4 linked regions of the Drosophila melanogaster genome follow. The protein of the gene in region 2 interacts with the protein of the main gene of each other region in a pairwise test. Each region holds a gene or a part of one and is shown on either strand. Other genes may lie near its edges. The genes, in order: salto, CG5445, CG9173 and CG34396.

Evidence for each region.
Region 1: the proteins of CG5445 (region 2) and salto interact in a two-hybrid assay, tested with the Drosophila melanogaster proteins (one large-scale study listed by BioGRID).
Region 3: the proteins of CG5445 (region 2) and CG9173 interact in a two-hybrid assay, tested with the Drosophila melanogaster proteins (one large-scale study listed by BioGRID).
Region 4: the proteins of CG5445 (region 2) and CG34396 interact in a two-hybrid assay, tested with the Drosophila melanogaster proteins (one large-scale study listed by BioGRID).

The regions. Positions count from the first base shown.
Region 1 is NT_033778.4:12,302,018-12,308,026, reverse strand, and holds salto (salto), read left to right. Parts: upstream 1-1,757; 5' UTR 1,758-1,928; coding exon 1,929-1,965; intron 1,966-2,028; coding exon 2,029-2,096; intron 2,097-2,155; coding exon 2,156-2,498; intron 2,499-2,555; coding exon 2,556-2,807; intron 2,808-2,901; coding exon 2,902-3,062; intron 3,063-3,125; coding exon 3,126-3,505; intron 3,506-3,569; coding exon 3,570-3,899; intron 3,900-3,969; coding exon 3,970-4,204; intron 4,205-4,262; coding exon 4,263-4,465; intron 4,466-4,532; coding exon of another isoform or gene 4,533-4,569; exon of another isoform or gene 4,570-4,624; intron 4,625-4,690; coding exon 4,691-5,180; 3' UTR 5,181-5,483; downstream 5,484-6,009. Other genes in the region: CG17739 (uncharacterized protein), read right to left, coding at 1-26, 80-468, 562-739.
Region 2 is NC_004354.4:17,280,671-17,285,529, forward strand, and holds the start of CG5445 (uncharacterized protein), read left to right. Parts: upstream 1-1,825; 5' UTR 1,826-1,957; coding exon of another isoform or gene 1,958-2,023; 5' UTR 2,024-2,174; intron 2,175-2,233; 5' UTR 2,234-2,305; intron 2,306-3,091; exon of another isoform or gene 3,092-3,144; coding exon of another isoform or gene 3,145-3,699; intron 3,700-3,761; coding exon of another isoform or gene 3,762-3,803; exon of another isoform or gene 3,804-3,830; intron 3,831-4,859. Other genes in the region: CG8664 (uncharacterized protein), read right to left, coding at 1,141-1,719, 1,958-2,023; CG8661 (uncharacterized protein), read right to left, coding at 3,145-3,699, 3,762-3,803.
Region 3 is NT_037436.4:1,420,669-1,425,314, reverse strand, and holds CG9173 (uncharacterized protein), read left to right. Parts: upstream 1-1,843; 5' UTR 1,844-1,952; coding exon 1,953-3,254; 3' UTR 3,255-4,116; downstream 4,117-4,646.
Region 4 is NT_033778.4:21,095,953-21,101,986, reverse strand, and holds CG34396 (uncharacterized protein), read right to left. Parts: upstream 4,230-6,034; 5' UTR 3,876-4,229; coding exon 2,143-3,875; intron 2,080-2,142; coding exon 1,922-2,079; intron 1,773-1,921; coding exon 736-1,772; 3' UTR 534-735; downstream 1-533. Other genes in the region: Gar1 ribonucleoprotein, read left to right, coding at 4,756-4,945, 5,280-5,660, 5,718-5,860.

The sequences.
Region 1 (6,009 bases), on a different chromosome or scaffold from region 2:
CGCGACCACTTGCCTTCGAAGGTAAGCTGAAGTAAGGAGGTGTTAATACCATTTCAATAATGAGTTAAAAGAGTCCCACCTCATATTTGGCCTCGTCACAGGCACAGCACGGATCCACGATGCTGGGCTGGGTGTCAATGTCGTCCACCTCCTCCTCGCACATACGCTTGGTAAGGAAGCCATCATCCATGAACCACACATCTCGATGCTGCATCACCGTAGCCCTCAGCAGGATGCAGCCCTGTCCCGGACTCGATGGAGCCACCCAGAACACATCCACGCGTGTCTTCACGTTCGTGTTGGTATTCTCGACAAGATTTGGGCAGCGCGGACTGAAACGGGTCTCGGCGAGATCGGCGATCTCCCAGGTGCCCAGGGCATTGGCGTCACCATCGCCGTCACCACTCTCCAAATCCAGGGCCAGCATAAAGCTAATGAAGGACAAGCCAGAAAATGCACTGAGGCTAACTGAAAACGAGCAGCGAAAGATTAGAGAATTGAAAGAAAAATCTAGAAATTTGTAAATTTAATTTAATTTAATGCTTAATTTAATGCACTCACCATTATACCTTTGACCGGGCACATAACTCTGCGTATTTCCGTTTACGGACAGCACATAGTTATCATCCACCGGTGACTTGGCTGCTGTGACTCCCGGTGGGACCCTAATGCAGCCCTCGATCCGGGGAATAACACCCACTAATGCGAGAAGAATAGTGAAACCTTCCAGAGCTTTCATTTCAAAGAGCTGCAATGCAAAATTGAGTGGGAATACAAATTTACAATCATTTGATGCAGCCACGTGGTTGTGGGGGAAAAAACTATTTCTGGCCAGCACTTAATTGTCTTAATTATCCGCATTGGTATCGAATGTCAATGGCAACCAATGGAGCCTACTTCCAGTTTCAAACTGAACTTGAATTCGTAGAAATAGCCTTCAATTGAATGACTTTGCGTGATGTCACACATAGTGCATATTGCTATTTTCGCAGACACTTTCCATTTCCTTTGAGATCCAAATTATGCCAGCTCAATTGCCATGCGGAACTTGAACTAGGCGGGTTGTTGGTTGTTTACCCCTTGAAAATCGGATCGCATTGCGTATATACAATATATAGTCTGTACTATATAGACCGTCTACGTCACTGATTAAATTCAATTGAAAAACGCGCCGACTGTCTACAGCGAATTCGAATACAAGGGGGTGACAAACGTCCATTTCCCATGGATCTAAATCATTAAAGTCACTTTTAGGGCTTCTTCACCTCAGTACTGCACTTATATTGTAGCACCCACTTTCACTAGCACATCATGTATGTTAATCCAGTTGATTAAGTTATTTTGAGAAAATAAACTAATAGCAAGGTGGTACAGATTGTTTTTTCATACTCTTGTTACTCAGTATTGATGGATCGTAAATGAAACAATCTCGAAATATATGCTTTTAGAGGGAAATCCGAACTAAGAACTTACTCGGTGGACGCACGAACAGCAACTGAATGCAAATTTCGCCGAGTCGATTATTGGATGGACGATGTGCATCATTCGGGACCGACGAATGGATTACATGGAGAACCTCAGAGAGGGAAAAACTGCTCTCTACTTTTCCCTCCCATTTAGCTTAGTTTCCGCTTCTTTTGCAGATTCGCATTTGTTGATAGAAACCATTAGTTTTCATACGCTCATTCTAAACAAACAGACCCCAAAAACACCGGGTACATTGGAACTGAACAAGTGTGCTCTGAGTTTGAATTCATGTTACTTCCACGAACCACCTCGTTTGGATTGGTCAGAAAGCATTTTTGTACCATTTACACTAGACGTAGTTCAACTGGAAATATTTAGAAACAAATTTTCTATACTATTTTTTCCTCATTTTGAACACAAAAATCGTTTACAAAAAAGCGTTGATTTCCGAAACTTTAGATATGAATTCTTCCAGCGTGACGCCGCGTTCAGTTCGTAGTAAGTACATGTACCTTGAACGCTATACGAATGTGTGCTTCAAATGCTCGTTATCCTTGTTAGGTAACAAAGCATTCTTGCTGAGGACAGCTGGAAAGGCGGAAAAGCAAGCCTCAGACAAAGCTACATGGGTGAGTGAGATAGAAGAAAAGGGTTTAGTTTTTTCAAATGCTTTACATCCCCGTCCCAGTCTCGCACTTCTTCTTGTGGTGGCGTCTTCTCTACTCCTCCCACCCAGAATGGCGACGGAAGCCCAAACAAAGGTAGGCTCAGTCACATTCCAAATAGGCGTGGAGCGAGTCGGTCGTCTATCCATTCGCGAAAAACTTCTCTGGAACGGGTTACTTCTTCGACGAAAGCGCGCCCGTGTGTCAGTACGTATTCGTTGCCCAATCGACGGGTCGAGCCCGAGCATAAAGTAGTTGAGCCCGATCGGAAAACTGATATCGATGAGTTGAATCCCCCCAAGCGGAACGTGGTTCCCATAAAGACGCATGCCCAGTCAGCACAATTGGTTAAGTCAACGACATGCGGTGGGTATCGCGAATATTTGAAACGTGGTCCAATTCTCTGATTATTGCCGTCCACAGAACCTTATCAAAATGTAAAGAAGCCTGAAAAGATGTCGCATCGCCGTGTCCTGGAGATGAACCGGATGCGGGTCTTTGATACGCAGAAAAAAAAACTGGAGAACCTGCAGTCCGAGTTTATGCACAAGATCCGGTTAATGGGTTCGGAGCTCCGGAATCAAGGGGTCTTCAAGTTTGTGGGTCTGACTGTAAACGATGAATGCAAGCTTGTGGTCCACCATGATGATCTACTTCGATTGCCCAAGAGTATTCGTAAGTTCGTTTTGATTTTACGTCTTCGATTGAATGAATTGTTATCCTTGAATTATCCTTCTTTCGCTTACAATTGCATACTTTTATTTTCTAGCCGCCGAAAGTATGAATGACTTGAAAACCAGGTGTCGTGCGATTGTAGATCAGGGGGTTTTGTTAATCTACGACCATATACCAAGAATTCAGAGGGCTAAAAATGATCTCGAGGCTAGTGAAAAGCGTGAGGAAACTCAAAAAAAGTTGTCTAACCTAGTGGTATGTTTTTGTGCAACCGCTATGATGCACTAGCAATGTGAAACTATTTTATTGTGTCTCCAGGAAGAAAAAATGAATTTAATCGTCGAGGAGATCGAACAGTTGTGCGGTGCATGCTCCAAACAAGAGTCACCCAACAAAAGTCTCTATCGCGAGATGTCCGAGTTGCGTTCCCAGAAACAGGCCATGGAGGTTCGTTATTTTGACGCCCAGAAGGAGCACACTGAACAGATGAACCAGTTGCGGATCGAGCTCGATGCCAAGCTGAAACAGGAGCTGGCCAGTCGAGATCAGATCATTGTAGAGCTGAGAAAGAGCCTGCGGCGAAGCGAGGATATGCTCAGTGAGCAGTCCATTCGATTGGCCGAGAACAATTCCAAGCTATTGACCGAGGATTCCACCATCGAGGTACTGCGCTCCGAGGTAGCCAAGCTCAAGACTGTGTAAGTTAACTGGTCATCTCGGCAGATGATGGTTCTTACAGATCTTTCCTTATATCGTATCTAGAAAAGAGCAAATGGTTAAGCGTCTGGAAGAGGCGGACAAAGGTCTGGAGCGGGCTCGAAATTCCGTCGATAAGAACTTGAAACACATCGATTACCTGGAGGGCGAACTGAAGGAGGCCCGTGAGCTCATTGTCCATCTGGAACAGCGTCCAGATGCCATGGACGCGGGAGTTAAAGAAAAGGATTTGATCATTGCCGATTTGAAACTGCAGCTGCAAAGTCTCGAGCAGCATAAGAAGGTCATGAACAAACAGGTGGCCAATACAATAAAGCAGCATGCCGACTTTGAAGAGCTGGGTGGAAACTATAAGGAAGCTCTACAGCAGATAAGGTAAACTGCTTGGTTAACAGTATCATAGATTATGTATATTGATTAACATATCTCTTGCTTGGATAACCAGCGATCTAAGGGAGACCCTAAGTGTTACCAATGCCAAATTGGAGATGCAATCCAAGCTCGAAGTGCAGCTGCGCAAGGAAGTGTCCAAGATGCGCGAGCAAATGGTTATCGATCAGAAGTTGCTGAACGCTCGCAGCGAATTGATCGCAACACTGCAGAAGAATGAGGAGGATAGCCGCACCAAACTAGACCAAATGTACTATCAAGTTAGCGAGAAAGAAACGCTTATCAATCAGGTCCGCCGAAAAAGGATGTGGCTAGCCTCGCTTATGCTTATCCTTCTTCCTCCCGCAGGTAAACAACAAGCTGAGTTCGAAGGAGGAGGAGTTCTATAATCTCTACGGGACCCTCACGCACAAACAAAGGGAAGTGAGGAGGCAGGAGCATATCATCAAGTTGTTAAAGGAGCAGAATTCGCGGGTATCATTGTTGCGAGCCAATCAGGACGAGCGGAATGCCACGATGGAGGAGGAAATCAAACATCTCAAAAACGCCCTGTAAGTTCAATACGAGTTTGAGTAAAAGTTCGCCAGCTTGCTATAATTTACACAAATCCCGTGGTAGATATTCAATAACATTAGGGCCATGTACCGTTGAATGAGGTAAATGTCAATTGAAGTCCTAATATCAACTGGACCAGTTTCCAAAATATTTGAGTAAGTGATAGCAAAGCGGCGAGCTTTATGCTTGGAAAGACAAATAAAAGTATTAAATGGTTCTAGCCGTAATTATGCCAAACTAATAGTTGGCAATATGGGTGAACATTTTTTTGAAGTTCTGCCGGCTGGCGAAATGGAGAGCATTAGAAGCGGTGGCCACCCTGTGCGTGTGGACTCTTCCTGCAAGTTTCTGCAAGAGCCCAATCTGCAAGAGCCCAATCTGCAGGAACCCAATCTGCAGGAGCCCAATCTGCAAGACGACACTCTGCAGGAACCCAATCTGCAAGAACCCAATCTGCAAGAGCCCAATCTGCAGGAACCCAATCTGCAAGACGCCATTCTGCAGGAGCCCAATCTGCAGGAACCTAATCTGCAAGACGCCACTCTGCAGGAGCCCAATCTGCAAGACGCCACTCTGCAGGAGCTCAATCTGCAAGACGCCACTCTGCAGGAGCCCAATCTGCAAGAGCAGGAGATGTCCCAACCACGTGGTCGCATCTTTGAGCCACTGCAGCATCAACTGCTCGACGGCTTAATTCGCCCCGCCATTTAGTGCGCTTGCGCTATCAACTACAACATCCAAATATTCGTCCTACAGATCCTGCGCGTCCACAAAAAGTCGCAAATTCCCTGCCACCCTCCTCTGCGATTGCGAAGACACCAGCGATCCCAAGACCAGCGTTAAACATCCAATTTGAACTACAAGAACCCAACCCAAATATCAACCCAACCCAACACATCCCAAAGGAGAACGCTTAGCATGGAAATTCTTAAGATGAACAAACCAAATTTGTTGTAACCGTTGGCCAAATGGCATTGTTTTTTGTACCCATACATATGTAAAAAGTAATGGCAGAAATCTGGTTAAGTCTCGTTTAGGGCGGCGGTTTGATCAATCGACTAGCTTCGATTGGTTTAAGAATCTGAAACTGGCACAATTAATTGAGATGATTTGGATTTTTAGGGCAGGGTCGAAGTTGCAGATACATTTATGCGTTCTTTTGCATTTAAATATTTAAAAATACTGGTTATTCAGGAAGTATGCATGCTTTTTCGTTATAAAAATCGTGAAAGCACGCATACTCTCAGATTTTCAAACTCAGTTTTTGCCGCTGCGTGGATTCCGTAGGTTTCCTAGTAGATTATCTGGTACATGTCGTTTAGTCGCATCAAGAAGCTCGTTAAGAACGGTTGGGGTTTTTAGTAGTCCAGATTGTGTGTGTTCCATAAAAGGTACCCATAAGTTTAATGAATGTGTGGTGCTGGTTGCAGATCAAATAGTGCGTTTTTGAGTGAGATAAAAAGAATAAAATAATGAAATTGGTCCCACAAACTTTGGCTTTATGTATGTACCTTGATCCCGGCCAATTATGATAAGACGG
Region 2 (4,859 bases):
GGCGAATCAAACGTATATATCTAATCTTAGCTGCTGTGCTTAAGTTCTATTTCGGTTTTGTATTTTAATCACTTATACTCTCTATTTTTTGACATTTTTTTTTGTGACTTGGCTTGAATTTATTTAGTACTGGAATTAATTTAATTGATTGGTTAAGCATTTTTTATTGTTATTTGTTTTTATATACGCGGCTCAAACAATATTACTTTTAATAATATAAATACACGAATACATACAACACATCTATGAATGAAAAAGCGAACGAATGAAACAATAAATACATATATATAATTTAAAACAAAAGAGAGAATGCTTTAGTCGAGTTCCCCGATAATTATATAACCGTGTCTCAGCTAGTGTGAATGCGAGCGCGAAATTTTATTATTTTTCTGGGATATCGATAGGAATTGGAAAATAAAATAAGAAAAATTGATCAAAAGTGTGGGCGTGGCAGTTTTAGGCGGCTTGTGGGCGGTAGAGTGGGCGTGGCATCGTGGGCCCCATGTTTTCCTTTGCCGTTGGCGGTGTGGTAAGTTTTTCTTAATTTTGTAAATCAATTTTTATACCTAAAATTTCCAGCCACCGCGCTAACCAACTCGGTGTGGCTAAGGAATTTTGGTCGGAACGTATCGACGTATTGTATACTTGACATGGTCGGAGACCAATACATTTTCAACGAATCTAGTATACCTTTTTACTCTACGAGTAACGTGTTTACTCCCTTCATATTCTATTTGTTGCTTTTGTTGGAGTCCAGACCCATTGATACCGCTGGCGCCCATCATTTGAATCATCGAGTACAGAATATCCAGGAAGTCTGTCTATTGGCAATAGAATTAAGATTTTTGAACATATAACATCCTTTTTTATGGGTATAGAACATAAGGTTGAAGGTGGTTAAAGTCAAATAAGTCAGTTAGTAATAATGAGCACATCGATTTCCAAAGCTCTGTATGTGTCACATTCGTTTAAAAGTTTGAAACAGCAAAAAAAAGCCATGTTTGTCGGTCCGTCGGTATCTCGTGATCTGAGACACTATACAGGCTAGAAAGGTGTATAAGATATGTTGTCACACCCCGAACTCCCAAATCAGGAAGAAAGCATCTGCTTTGCTCATAATTTCATGGTTTTATTACCAACTTATGTCATGCTGGCTATGCAGGTATTGATGTTGGGCACAAAGGCGTTGCAGCCGTCGACCACCTTCTTGGTGGCATCGACGTAGCAGGAAGAGGTGTTGAAGGGCAGGGCTGCGCCCTGCTTGATCAATGTGTTCATGCGGCGGACAAGGGACATGGTGGCGTAGAAGGCCTTCAGGGTGCAACGCATGAAGCTCTTGGTGGAGGAGACGACGCTCCTGGAGGTGGAGGCGCACAGCTCGGACTTCATGTTGATGATCTTGTTGCTGGTGATGATCATTTGCTTGACATTGTTCAGCATGGCCTGGATATCCTTGGGAATATCGCCGGTGCAGGTGCTCAGGTCGTCTACGTAGTTGGTGCAGGTGAGCAGCACATTGGCCACCTCCTCGACGATGCACTTGGTGCCGTTGATGCCCTTGTATCCGGCCCACAGAATCTTGCGGCACGATCCAATGAAGCCGAACTGCTCGACGCCCATGAACTCATCCTCCATTGCCATCAACTCGGCGGCGTAGAGATCCTTAAGCTCGGCATCGGTGTAGGGCTCGAAGTCCTCGAAAGCACCTACGGCACTGGCCTAAAACAAGTTAGGAATACGATTCGATTTTGGAATAACTGTCAAAATATTTGACTTCAAGTAGCACACGTTTTAAAAGCACTTCGGAAAAAAAATTGAACAAAATATATTTGCTTTAAGCGACGATTCTGTTCATTAAATCTTTGTTTGCTGCACTTTTCGGATTTTTTTCAAACTCTAATAACGATGGCACTTGACTGTATTTGCTAGTAGTTCTTCATAAGGTTGTCTGACTTACGTTCGCTGTGGCCAGAAGGAAGCTGGCAGAGGCCACGACCAAGAGGCAGACGTTGAGTACTTTCATGTTACTGGTGGATGGTTTCACTGGCGAATGTTTGCTGACCGATCCGTGGGGTTTGTTTATATAGACGATTGGCCGGAGCCATATCAGTTAAGTGGCGATTCGGAGGTTCGATTTGCACATACACTTTGGAAAACCAATGTGCCGGCGATATGTATGCTTTAATTAAACCACCACACAAAGTCCGAAACTAATTTGACATTATCTATGCAGCGTGGACACACAAAGGAAGATAGCGAGATAGTCATATAGCCAGATTGTCCAGATTGGACAGGGATTCCTCAGGTAAGTCCGACACCACCCACCGCAAGCACTCCCATATATCGACGCGATGCATTCGATGCATAATCGCTCAAAGAAATCAATGGGTATTTTATTTAACAAAACAAAACCCTTGGAAAAGTCACCTATCTACGTTGTCAACGTCTGAGTGACAGCTTTTTAATATTTAAAGTGGCTTAAATCTAATTTATAAATAAGCATGAGCATTACAGTAAAAGAAGTATCGAGTATATTAAAAAACTAATTATACCAAAGAGAGAGCCTTTTATCTTCAAACCTGTCTCATGGCCCTAGGTTAAGGTGATCATATCTGTTGAGATATTGTTTTTGTCACACTTCCATTTTTATCAATATTCAATAGTGATAGAAAGTACACTCGCACTGGTTTTCGTTTAGGGGTGCAGACATTTGGTTAACAGTAACTAAACAATTATCTAACTATTCTGTACTCAATAAAATATAAATTTGTATTATAATTGAATTACTATTAATTTACTCTGACTAAAAATTGTATAAATTGTACAAATATACAAATATAGGTATGTTATAGAGCAACTTGTTATATTCCACTTAATACTTTTTGCAAATCGATGGAAATTCGCAAGACTAATAAAAATATAAAAAATATCATATATACGATATACCAGATCGACTCGGCTATTGATCCTAATCAAGACTATATGAAAACGCTTCCTTTTACTTTACGAGTAACGGTTATAAAAATTTAGTTACGAATAGTAATAAAAAGGCTTTCTCTCCTCTAACAAAATTAAATAACTAGCAAAAACTGTGATAACACGGATTTTTATTGAATGCTCGAATCAATTGCGGGCACTAAACCCCTAAGAAGTCAGCTTGGAGCAGCTGATGATGTTCTGGGGAAAGGCGGTGTAGTAGGTGGTCAGGGTGTTGACGGCATCGGAGACACAGGCGACGGCATTGGGACCGGTTTGCGGGATCTTCTTGGCCAGCTTGATGGCATTGTCCACTTGCTTCTTTAGGGACCACACCTTGCGCAGAGTCTTAACAAAGCAGCTGCCAGAGACCTTCGTCTCCTCGTCGTCCGTTTGGGGGCAAGTGTTGGACCTCAGATTGATGAGGTCGTTGCAAGTGCTGAGGATCTTATTGTTGGCGTTGATCAATTTGGTCACATCCTTGCTGGCGGTGACGCCGCACACGACCACGTCCGTGTTAAATTGGGTCGCACTGTCCTTGATGCCCGCCACCCACTTGATTATGCAATTGAGTCCCTTGATGCTTCGCAGAGCGATCTTTAGGGATTTGTAGGTCGTACTCAGCACGCCAAAGTCCTCCACCTCCAAGCTACCATCGGTCACATCGTCCAGTTCTGACGAAGAGTCCAGGGCGCTGGGAACAGGAGCCACCAATGCATTTACCTGGAATTTAAATATTTGCTACCATTGCGCAAATAATTTGTATTTTTCATTGCAAAACTTACGCAAAACAGGCCCAAAGCCAAAATAAGAATGGTATACTTCATGCTGTCGTTGTTTATAAGCAACTATGAAAACCGTTTCCGATTCGGCCCTTTTATATCGCTTGGTTTTTTAACCCTTTAGTGGTCAGGTAGGTCTTGTACAAACAGAAATATAATAGATATCTAGGTTCATAACTCTATTATTAGAGCTAAATGTTAGGATTGCACGGATATTATATTATATTGGTAGTATACGTACTGATGATATTTATATATCCTAGTTTTTTGCATACCTTTTTTGTGTTAAGAAAAGCGGTTAAGACTATATTGAACTTGAGCCAGTCACATTGGTGCTCTGATAACGCATTAAGCCAATTGATCATTTGGACACCGAATTTATCTATAAAATACAAAAAACCCAATTGATAACGCTATAACAACAAATCGAATTACAGTTCGATTTTAAATCATACTTATGGGCTGACTTACCTGCATACAAAGCTTTACTTTCACATATTAAAATGTATTTGCCTACTTTTGGGCTTAAGTTTATAACTTATCAAAATTATGGTAAAGATAAAATAATTGAAAATATTTAAATTTAAATCTGTTTTGACAAGTCTACCAACTCAAGCCAAATTGTTTATACTCTTCTGCCTCAGGGCGATTTGCAGATTAAATGCACGGTGGCCTTTAATCACACCATTTTCACAAGTTTCAATTACAATCGCCGGTCATTCGATTCGTATTTCACATACGGATTCCCATGAATGACATAGTTTGCTTCACCGCAAGTCTTACGTCGTCATCATCGCTGGACAAAAGTCAGTTGACTTCATTGAAGTGCCCTACGATTTGATTTGCTAGCCACGTGAGAAGCGCCATATCTGATAAGCTGGCCGATTAGATGGAAGGTTCGAAATACGAAAATCGTCTCATAGAGGGGACCGTATCGATAAGGATTTATACACGCTTAGCATTAACTTATTCGCCTTTCATATCTACAATACGTCTGATTGTTTCCAGGAAACGATAATTTCATTGGCGAACATAAGAGGTGCACGGTATAGCATTAGTCATCAATGTTCTCATTGATCACATATTAAAAAAAAAAACACA
Region 3 (4,646 bases), on a different chromosome or scaffold from region 2:
AACGGGTCGTTGGGGTCGGGGGCACTGCCCCCCCCTGTTCTGTCCATCAGATATAAAAGGGGGACTTTGGCTTGTTGGTCCCCAGCGCTCCGTGGGAAATAGAACTAGCTTCAGTTCTTAGGTTATATTTCAAATTTTTGTTCAACTTAATTAGTTCAAATTTGAATTTGAATTCGAATTTCGCGCCCAACGAGCGCGCGGCCGAATGACGATCGCACCGCTGATCTGGCAACGCCAGTCTAACCAGCTCGTCGACTGCGAAAGGTTGGCAATGCTATCAGCTGTATTGTCTGATGCAGCTGATCTGATTTATTACCAGTTTACTGGATCACTCGTGAATTCCGGAACGACACCGTGACGCTCAGAAACGCGGCGCAAACCCCAGAGTGGATTTGCAGGTTTATGTTGCAGTTTACGGCTGACCGGACTCGTATATGACGAAATTCGCGCAGCGCAGCAAAAAGACGTGCGAAATACGCGGGACAATGGATGTGTGTGTGTGTGTGTGTGTGTCTATGTGGAAGGTAAACACATGTCTACTTTGAGGCACAGCAAAAAAAAAAAAATATATATGCAAGTGTCGATGATTTAAGTACATTTATAAGTAGTACGAGCAAAATACGAAATCTATAGCTAGATTGCTTCTTACAACTAAAATCAAGTTTATATCTCAAGGATGTGATATTGTAAGAGAATAGAATACGATTTTTCCCAGTGTGACTTCATCTTCAGCTTATTCCTACCCATCTTGGAGCTGCTGCCATTCATTAATCCACATAGAAATGCCAATGGCAGAGTGAGATGTTGATGGTGAGCTGGTACAGATGGAGATGGAGATGGTGAGGTGATGGTGACCAAAGCGAATGCAAACGAAGGCGGCTGAGGCGGCACAACAACAAAGCGGCCAAGAGGCCTATTAGCCACAATAAAGAGGCAGCCTCACCCCCTTTCGAAATCCCCAATGCTCATACCCCTGGAAATTCTATTATGCAGATGAATGGATGGATATGGGACTAACCATCCGACTGCCTAACTGACTGGGTGTTTGTGTGTTTGCCCCGCCAGATGCCATTACAATGTAAACCCAACAAAAGTTCATTCGGTGGACTTGATGCGGGCATGGATGCGGAGACGTCTTCATCTCATCCACGTACTTCTTCTCCACATATCCGAGGCAGCAGCACTTCCAGCCACCGCAGCGGAACAATTGATCAAATATCATAATTTATCAAATGACAATGCAACAGGCGGCGGCCTCTGAACGTTTACGTTCCCGTATTTGCTTGCCCCAATCCCCACACCAAAGACACCGATCTCCAATTCCCAAATCCCCCCAATCCATTCGAAAGCTACAACTTAATTTATTTGAACAATTTAGGTCTGACACAACAGCCATCGTTTGGCTCTGTCGTGTTCTTTGCGCTTATTTATTTCGATGGTCAGTCGGCTCGAATCTATTTAGCATAATTGCAGCTACGATCAGAACCGAGACCCGAGTCCCGAGATAAAATAATGCATTCTTGTGTGGGGTCTGTGTGTAATCCTAGATAGGGCCACCAGTGGGTCAGATAACCAAATTAAAACAGGCTAGGGAAAATATTGGGACAAACCGATTATTGTTCTATTATGGTAAACTTAGCCATGGCATTAGTTCCAATCGAAATGGGAAGTGCATTCTTCATCGAAGATTGTGCATTCAAATCAAATTGTGTGTCAAGTTTGCTCACAAATTGGTAGGTTTATGGATGCCAGATAGGTTGACAATACTTTTGTATTGGTTAGTTTATGAGCTTTCTTTTCATGGAATAGCCAAAGAATTCGATACAGTAGTCTGCGACTATATGGTCCATCAGAAATCTGTGTATAGCATCTACAATTTTTGTGTTTTGTCAAAAGTGAAATTTAAAGTGATACGTTTGCTGTCTCCTTACTTCATCAACAACCAAATTGCAATGGACAATTATGAGAGGGCCAGAAAACTGCAGGAGGAGGCGGGAGTTCCTCCTGGGGGAATCAAGCGGTGCTGCTGCAACTGCAGGAGAAAGCTGGATCCCTACCAACTGTTTGACGATAATGTGGAGGATATAGCCAAGAGCCTGGCGCAGATAATGCTGATCTGTGGCATCAGCACAAGCAAATCCAGCGCTGCCAGGTCGATAATTAAGAGGGCTTTCGTTTACCATGAACGACTGCGCACCAATTGTCCACCAAATCCGGCTACTGACAGTCGCTTGAATCGGGAGGACCTGCTCCAGGCTCTGCGACTGAAGTGCGAAATGGAACCGGTGGAGGCGATGCTCACCTATGCCATCATCAAGCGGGCCTTTAAGGCCTTCTATCACGGCAAGCCACCGGTGACGATCAGCAATCCCATAGTGGATGCGATGGCGGTGCACACCCAATATGCTGCTTGGATGCATGCGGCGCACAAGACATCCAGGATCTTCGACAACTACAAGGCGGCCTTCTTTTGGGCCCACAAGCACTACGAGAGGCAGATCAATCTGGTTTATGCAGCGCTGTATCAACGGATGACTACCAGATCGGATCCCCTCCTGGTGCCGGGCTGTCCTTGCAAGGGCTGTTCCAAGCAGGAAGTTCCCGGACATCCCAAGGCCGGCCAAAGGCAAATGATGAAGATCAAGCTGTCGGAGGGTGCAGATCTACCAGAACCCTGCATCATCTGTGGCTTGCAAGTTCCGCAAATGGATAAGGAGGTCAGGATGAAGAAGCCACCGCGTCCGATCATCAACCATGAGGTTAATCTACCCAGATGCCAGCAGTGCAATTCGCCCTTCCTCATCTGCGAATGCAACATCGATCAGTTGACGGGCGAGCAGTTTGGCGAATGCGGCCAAGACTCCTACAAGGTGAAGTGGTATCGTCTGGAGGAACCAGTGGCCATTTCCCAACCTGTTTCCCAACCGCTTGGCGAAGAGGAGCAAGATACCAGCTATGATGAAGCTGTGGAACCCCCAGAGGACTGGGACAATCACCATTGTCCCATCGACTGCAAGCACGACTCCTGCAGCGAGTCCTCGAATGTTTGCCACAGCACTTCTTCATCTGCATCTTCGGGCAGTGATTTTGCCACCTGTTCCGACGGCGTGGACAAAGAGGAGGATGTTGTGGCCAAGCTGGAGGATTATCTCAACAAACTGTGGGCCGAGGAGGTGGCTCAGAAGAGGAATCCATCGTATGTGCCGCGAACGATTCATCCTCCTGGTCCGAAGTGTATGAAGTGCAACGACTAATTTTGTACGTTTAAATTTTGGCTATATAAATTATTGAGTGATGAAAAGAGAGCTATTGTTGACCCTTAATAGCCAGAAACAAGTAGTCTAAGTACAGAACGTGTTTTCTCACCTCTGCTACCAAGTTTGGTTCAACGAGCTGCCACCATGCCACCATGCCACCATCCGGGCCACCCACTCCCACACCTGGGGAATCGATCGCCCACACGGGAGCCGGCGCTTATCACACGCCCACAGATCGCGTCTTGACAATGGCCACTTAAAATGCCATTGCCGGTTGTAATCGCCACTAAATTGCTGGCACCTCGGCTTATTCGCGGCTGGAGGACGGAATGGGACGTGGCATTCGATGGGATGGAGCTACTGTTGTCATCGCCGGCTGCTCCGCCCAGCAGCTCCCAGGAGCTTCCACATAAATCGCTGCCTTTATCTAAGCACTTGCATCTCGCGCTGGAACAGAGGCTCCTCCAAGCTGCACCACCAGGATGGTGCGGATCCGCGGATTCGGGCCTGTTCACGCTCCTCGCCGCTTATCAATCTCAGCTCATCTGCACGCAGAACAGAACAGAACCGAACTAAACCAAACTGCAACTAAATGGGCAAAAAGAACCCAAGTCGAAGAACATCTTCTGCGAAAAATAATTCCGCAACTTGTCACATTTTGTAAGATTCAAAGTCGCAGAGACAGGCACTAAACTGCAGACGCCTCTGCGCCAGGGATTCTGGGATGGGCCTGCAATGAAAGGAGTCCTTGACTGTCGGGATTTAACTATTTTTATAGGGTATTCGTAGATAAAGGGGCATACTCGAATGTTAACAGCTACATAAATATAATAATTATTAATGGCAACATATTGATCTTAATTTTATAGATGGTTTATTATTGGTTTAGATTTAAAACTTTGACTTTTTATCATTATCATTCCTGTAGTCGAATCACCCGTGTTTACCCTACATATTTTTGGCTAGGCCTAGACTTCACCCTCGAATTGCCGCCTGCATCTCCATCTGCCTGTCGCTGTGGCATGTTAAACTGGAGTCACATTTGCATATAGATTTATTTTTATGTCCACTGCCTTCGGATGGCTCGTGAACTATTTATGTGTGACGACGATCCAATCGCTTGGGGGAGCGATCTTTGGATGGATCCGCGATCGGTTCTTGCCCAAGAGTTGTGCCATTAAGCGATGCCCATTAAATGTTTGGAAATATTGGAATATCTCTAGATAATGCCACGTCTTGCCAAATTTCTAATTATGATATGCTCACATTGAGTTTCTCTATTAGCCCAGTTTTGATGCGTCTATGTCTGTCTTCCCATTCCAAAAAATTTTTTTTTTTGCTTCGGCATGTGTGTGGTAAACAAAGCTCTCACACTCAATTGAGTGCCAC
Region 4 (6,034 bases), on a different chromosome or scaffold from region 2:
GAGGAGAGAAGGCGATGTAACCCGTCGACCGAACCGCACGCTGCCAAAACAACAACTGGGCGTCCAACAGAAGCCGTCAACTCAGGCGAAGTGCTCGTAGCGGAACGGAATGGAAACGGAACATGCACACGAATGCCAGCCGAAGCAGGAGTGCGAAGCATGCCATCCTGTCGTGTGTCAGCGAAAGAGAGGCAGAGAGAACCACAACTCGCTCTCAATGGGAATGGGTCTCTCCCTCTCTCCCTCTCTCTCTCTCTCTCCGCACAACGCCTCCTGTGGCTGCTTCCTCTTCCATTTCCTACGAGCGACAGATGTGCAGCTGCCGACTGCGACTGCATTTGGATTCGCGCCCCCGACTCCCTGTTACTGGGATTTTGGGATGCATTCCCGTACAAAGCATACGCATCTGGCAATTCGATTCCGGATTGAGCAAAAAACCACGCTGATAACAGGATAATAGAGTGTTGAAAAATTATACAACTTTATGATTATGATCCTTAAGCGGAATTTACAACAATTAAAAACATCAATTTGCGTTGTCAACTCGCGCGCTTTATTTCATTAACATTAGACTTATGCTACGATGATGGTGAGTAAAATTAAATAACAAATAAATGAATATAGAGTTTCGCGTTACGGTAAATTCGATTGAAATTGCCTTGTCATTTTTGAGGTTTCTTACACGTTAACTTTGTCGGTTTTTTTTTTGTTTGGAGGCGGAAGATCCCAGGGATTCTAGAAAAACCTGTGCTTTTTCTTCTTCTTGTTCTCCCCCTCCGCCGGCGGCTGGGGATCCACGGAAACCTGACGCCTGGGCAGCAGAGGTGGCGGAGTAACATCCCCAGCTCCAACAGCATCGGCTCCAACTCCATTAGCATCCACTCCATTGGACGCCGGCGATAGAGGACGCGGTGCGCGCAGGATCGAGGTGAGTGGTGGCACCGGGGAGTGGCCATTGCCATTCGCCTCCTGGCCATCCTCCTCGATCCTGTCCAGTCGCGAACCGTGCACCGAGGCAAGCTCGGAGGGAGTCTTCACCTGGGAGCCGCCCTCATCACCAAGCTCGCTGGTCATGTTCATGCCAATGGTGGCGCCCACTTTGGCGCTGGCCATTTTGAAGTGATCGCTCAGCTTGATCTGCACCACATTGATGAACATGGAGGTCAGGGCCAAGCCGAACATCAGATAGATCATGCTGACCATTACGTAGAAGGGATTACTGGGCACCAGGTCGCCGAACCCAATTGTGGACATCGAGATGAACACGTAGTAGAAGGCATCCAGTGGAGTCCAGCTGGGCTCCATCATTAGAAAGCCGAAGGATCCTAGGAGGATGTACGTAATGAGCAGCAGCGAGGCCACCGACACTGGCAAATTGAACTCGTCGTCCACCTCGAAGGTCTCTGGATAGGGTGATGTGGGTGTCTCCGGGTGCGAGGTGCCCACCGATCTTGCGGCCTCGGCATCCGCCTGCGACTCCTCATCGTTCTCTGGCGCAGAGTTGCTGAAGAACATGCTCGGCCTGCGGATGGCCATGTCGTACATCGTATTGAAGCCTGTCATGGCGCTCCGGATCTGCTGCTGCTTTCGTATCCGGCGGCAGGAGCGCGTGTAGTACATCCGTCGCACATACACCCACAGGAACTTGACGCAGCGCGTGAATAACTTGCCCAGATCGGCCAGCACGATCAGGAACATGGGGATGCCGATGATGGCATAGACGATGGTCAGGGATCGACCCATGCCCGTCTTTGGAGTGATGTGGCCGTAACCTGGAAAGGAAGAGAAGAAGGCATGGGAGTTAATAAGTTAAATATGACTAACTAAAAAAAGAACCTAAAATGGAAATATGCTCATATATAAGAACTAACGAAAGGATTTAGGAGTTTTGGATGGTTATGGGTCCATTGTAACCCATTACCTATAGTTGTGATCACGGTCCAACAGAAGATGAAGCAATTGACAAAGTTCCAGGACTTTTGGCCCGGATAGCGGCGTAGTCCCAACTCGGCTAAATTATTTAGTTCATCCTCGAAGCTGCGCAGCTTCTGGCGGGCAAGAGACTTCCAGTCCTCCTCTCTGGCAAAGATACAAATGAATCACTCACAGAACTGGGCTACCACTTGGCACCATTGGTACTACCTCATGTTGTGGCTGACGTCCCACAGTCGGTCTATGAAATCCCGCTTCACCTTGCGCACCTCGCACTTGTATATATTCTCCGCTGCTCCTTCCGTGTACCGGAACAGGAGTCCTCCGAATCCCAGAAGCATAGCCATGCAGATGAGATAGGCAATGCACCTGTTGCGTAGCTGACGCAGTTCCTTCACCTTTTGGGGATAGTCCAGCTTGAGGCGTTTCCATTCATGCCGGGCTTCTAGGCTGAAACTGTACAGCAGACCCCTGGAGGCCAACTTCTCCAGTGGCAATTCTGTGGACAGATCTGTGACATCTTCGCCCTTTGCCTGAATCTTCTTCTTTCGCCTAAACAGATTTTTCAGCCGCTGCCATAAGGTAACTTTGGGTTTCGCCTCTGAGATGGATTCCTCTGGCAACAAGGGTTGATCCCCAAGAGATTTTGGTTCCGTATCAGCTTCATTTGTAGTAGTTCCCTCAAGGAGCTCTTGAGTTACCTGTTCCTTTCTTTCCAAACTGCCCGATCGCTTGGGTCTTAGTGGACGCTCCAAACTGGAGCTGCGCTTTTGAGGCTTCTCTTCCTTATCCGCTAATCTCAAGCTGTGACTGCGACGCACTCCCTCCGCCGTCAGGATTTGCTCCGCCAGGGCGGCCTCCGCTTTTGCCGCCCGCTCAGCGGCCTCCATGTACTTTTGCATCAGCTCCGACTGCTGTTCTGCCTCCGAGATGCGGGGCTTTATCACCTCGTCTCTGGACTCGCCCACCTCCAAGTACTCGTGCTTCCGGAGGATCTCCTCCCGTTGCTCCGGAGTCTTGGATCGTCGCTGTGGTCTCACGGGCGACAGGGAGTTGTTGCGACTCACAGACAGCCTTTCCGGTGGTTTTGGAGCTGTCGACGCCGATGGCGGCGGTGGAGGTGCGCCGCGGATTGGGGCTGCCACAAAGCCCTGGGGAATCTTAGGTGCTCGGGGCCGCGGGTGAGTCTCCTCCGTCGCATCGGCATCGGAGGAGCTGAACTGGGTGGAGGACTCATCGTAGCCGCTACTTCGATTGCGACCCCGAGTCTTGGGCGCCTCGTGTCGCTGCAGACGCAGGCTGTGGATGAGGCGGCGCCGTTCCTCCTCGTCCTGCGGCAGCTGGATGCGATCGCTGAGCTTGCGGTAGCTCTGCAGGAGGCGCTTGCGCTCCTCGTTGTCCAGCTGCTGGCGATGGCGCATCTTGTGCTCCCGCTTCTCGCGCTCAAAGAGCCTCTTCTCGGCCTCGAAACGCCGTCGTTCGTCCTCGAAGCGCTGCAGATTCTGCTCCAATCTGCTTAGCGTATCCTGTGTCTGGCCAAGATTAGGAATGGGCCTTTGCTGCTGACTACTGCTGCCGGTGGTCAGCTCACTCTCGCTGGACTCCTCCTTGTGCCGCGGCGAGGAGAGGCTGCGATGCTTGATCAGATGATTGGCATCCGGACTACTCAGCTTCTCAGCCTCCCGTGGCTGCGATTGACTACGCGCCGAGGAGCTGGCGAAGGACTTGTCCCGCTTTCGCAGGATCTTGCTCTCGTGGGCGGACATCGAGCCGGGTGGCCTGATCTGCATGCGCACCATCTGAGGTGATGGATCAGGGAGGGCATCCGGACTGGCATCGTCCTGGGGCAGGGCGTCTCCAGTGACGGGCGTCGGTTCCCGGTGGCTGCGACCCAGGCGCCTTCGATGGCGCTGCTGCTGCCTGGCGTCCATCGGCTGCTCCATCTTGTCCAGCCGCAGTCGTGTGCTACTTTCGCGATCTATCTTTGTGCTCGTGCTCGTCATTTAGCCATCTATTAATCTATTTTTAACTGCCCAACGAGGCGTTCATATTCCACATATGAAAATATGCCTCGGGTAATTATATCACTTTCGATTGCAATTTCGTATTATATGTATGTATTGTGCACTTTCTGAAACTTTTAAAGTCTGCACTTGTCCGAAAATTTTTGAAATTATTTTGCTATATTATCTATTTGCATATAGAATTTTATGTATCTGCTTCTTTCGACGTCGCGACACGATCGAATAGATTTAGCTTCTATTTCTCGCTTCCTCGTCCACGGCTGGCATCCAACTGCTCTCAGCAGTTGGAGAAAATTCAAATATTCATTTTCACTTTGCTTGTCTATATTTTTGGTAGATGTCTCAACAGCTGTTCGGCTATAGATATCTATATATATATATATCTATAATGCATCCGATGATGTTTTTGATGATTCTCTCTTACTCAATGTTTTATGTTCTCTTAGTGAATATTTAATGCTTATAAAAAAAGCACCAGGAATTTGTCTTAGTTAAACGATCTTCATTAAAACTATTCATATGCATAAAAAAATAACTGTTTTTAAAAAAAAAGACTAAGAAATTAATAATCAGGTCGATTGTTAAAAATAGTTTTAAATAATTTTATTGAAATAGAAGTTTCAAAAAATCCGCCCCTTGTGCCTAGTGTGACCGTATAATATACAACCGTATATACTGAAACACATGGCCGTGGCTATCGATAAGTCGATAACGAAATTTGAATTTCTTCCGTCTCTAAATATTTTGGTTGATCGGAACGCGCACGTGTTTTTGCGTTCAATTTTAATAATATTTGAAAATGGGATTTGGTAAACCTCGTGGCGGCGGTGGCGGCGGCGGAAGAGGCTTCGGTGGAGGCGGAGGCGGAGGAGGACGAGGATTTGGTGGAGGTGGAGGTGGACGAGGAGGTGGCGGAGGACGCGGAGGTGGCGGCGGATTCGGTCGAGGTGGAGGTGGACGTGGTGGCGGCCGTGGAGCCTTCGACACTGGTAAGTGAATGAAAGTCGCCAACTATTCCTATAACTAATCATCCAAACTAAGCTAGCCTGTGAACTAAGGCTAACTACGTCACTTAAAACAAGCAGTTAATACAGATTGTGCGAATAGAATTACAATAACCACGTTGTTCTCTCAAATTTTGAATAGCCAAGCCGTTGTAGGCTATAATCATGGGCTATATATATAAATATATTAGCTAAAAACACATCTGGAAGTCTCCTATAGGTATACGCTGTCTTAAATGCTTGCTATGTTCAGGCAAATTGCCAAATACTCATTTCCATTTTGTCACTTTAATAATATATCTTATTTTTTTAATTGTAGGTCCACCAGAGAGAGTCATCCCCTTGGGCAACTATGTTTACTCCTGCCAAAACGACCTTGTGTGCAAAGTTGATATTCAGGATGTTCCCTACTTCAACGCGCCCATTTTCCTTGAAAACAAGGAGCAAGTAGGCAAAATCGACGAAATCTTTGGAACAGTTCGGGACTACAGCGTGTCCATCAAGCTGTCGGACAACGTCTACGCCAACAGCTTCAAGCCAAATCAGAAACTGTTTATCGACCCTGGAAAGCTGTTACCCATCGCCAGATTTCTGCCGAAACCTCCACAACCAAAAGGCGCCAAGAAAGCCTTCACAAATAACCGAGGTGGAGGCGGCGGTGGCGGTGGATTTGGAGGCCGAGGTGGCGGCCGCGGAGGAGGTAAGATAGTGAATTTCATGAGTGCACCCCAAAGTCCTAACTTGTGTTTATCAACAGGTGGTCGCGGTGGTGGCGGCGGACGAGGTGGAGGCGGATTCCGAGGAGGTGCTGGTCGCAATGGAGGAGGTGGCGGCGGCGGCGGTTTTAACAGAGGACGAGGAGGCGGTGGCGGCGGCGGCGGTGGTCGGGGTCGGTGGTAGTTTTCAGTATCAGATCCTAATCAAAACATTTAAAGAAGTGTACAATCCAATTGTTGTACATGTCCAAATAGTTTCTAAGCAAAACCTCATCATTTGGGTATTGTTCGCTGACCAATCAATCGAATATTGTACCATAAATGATACTAAAATAAATTTCCTACAAATTTACAAACA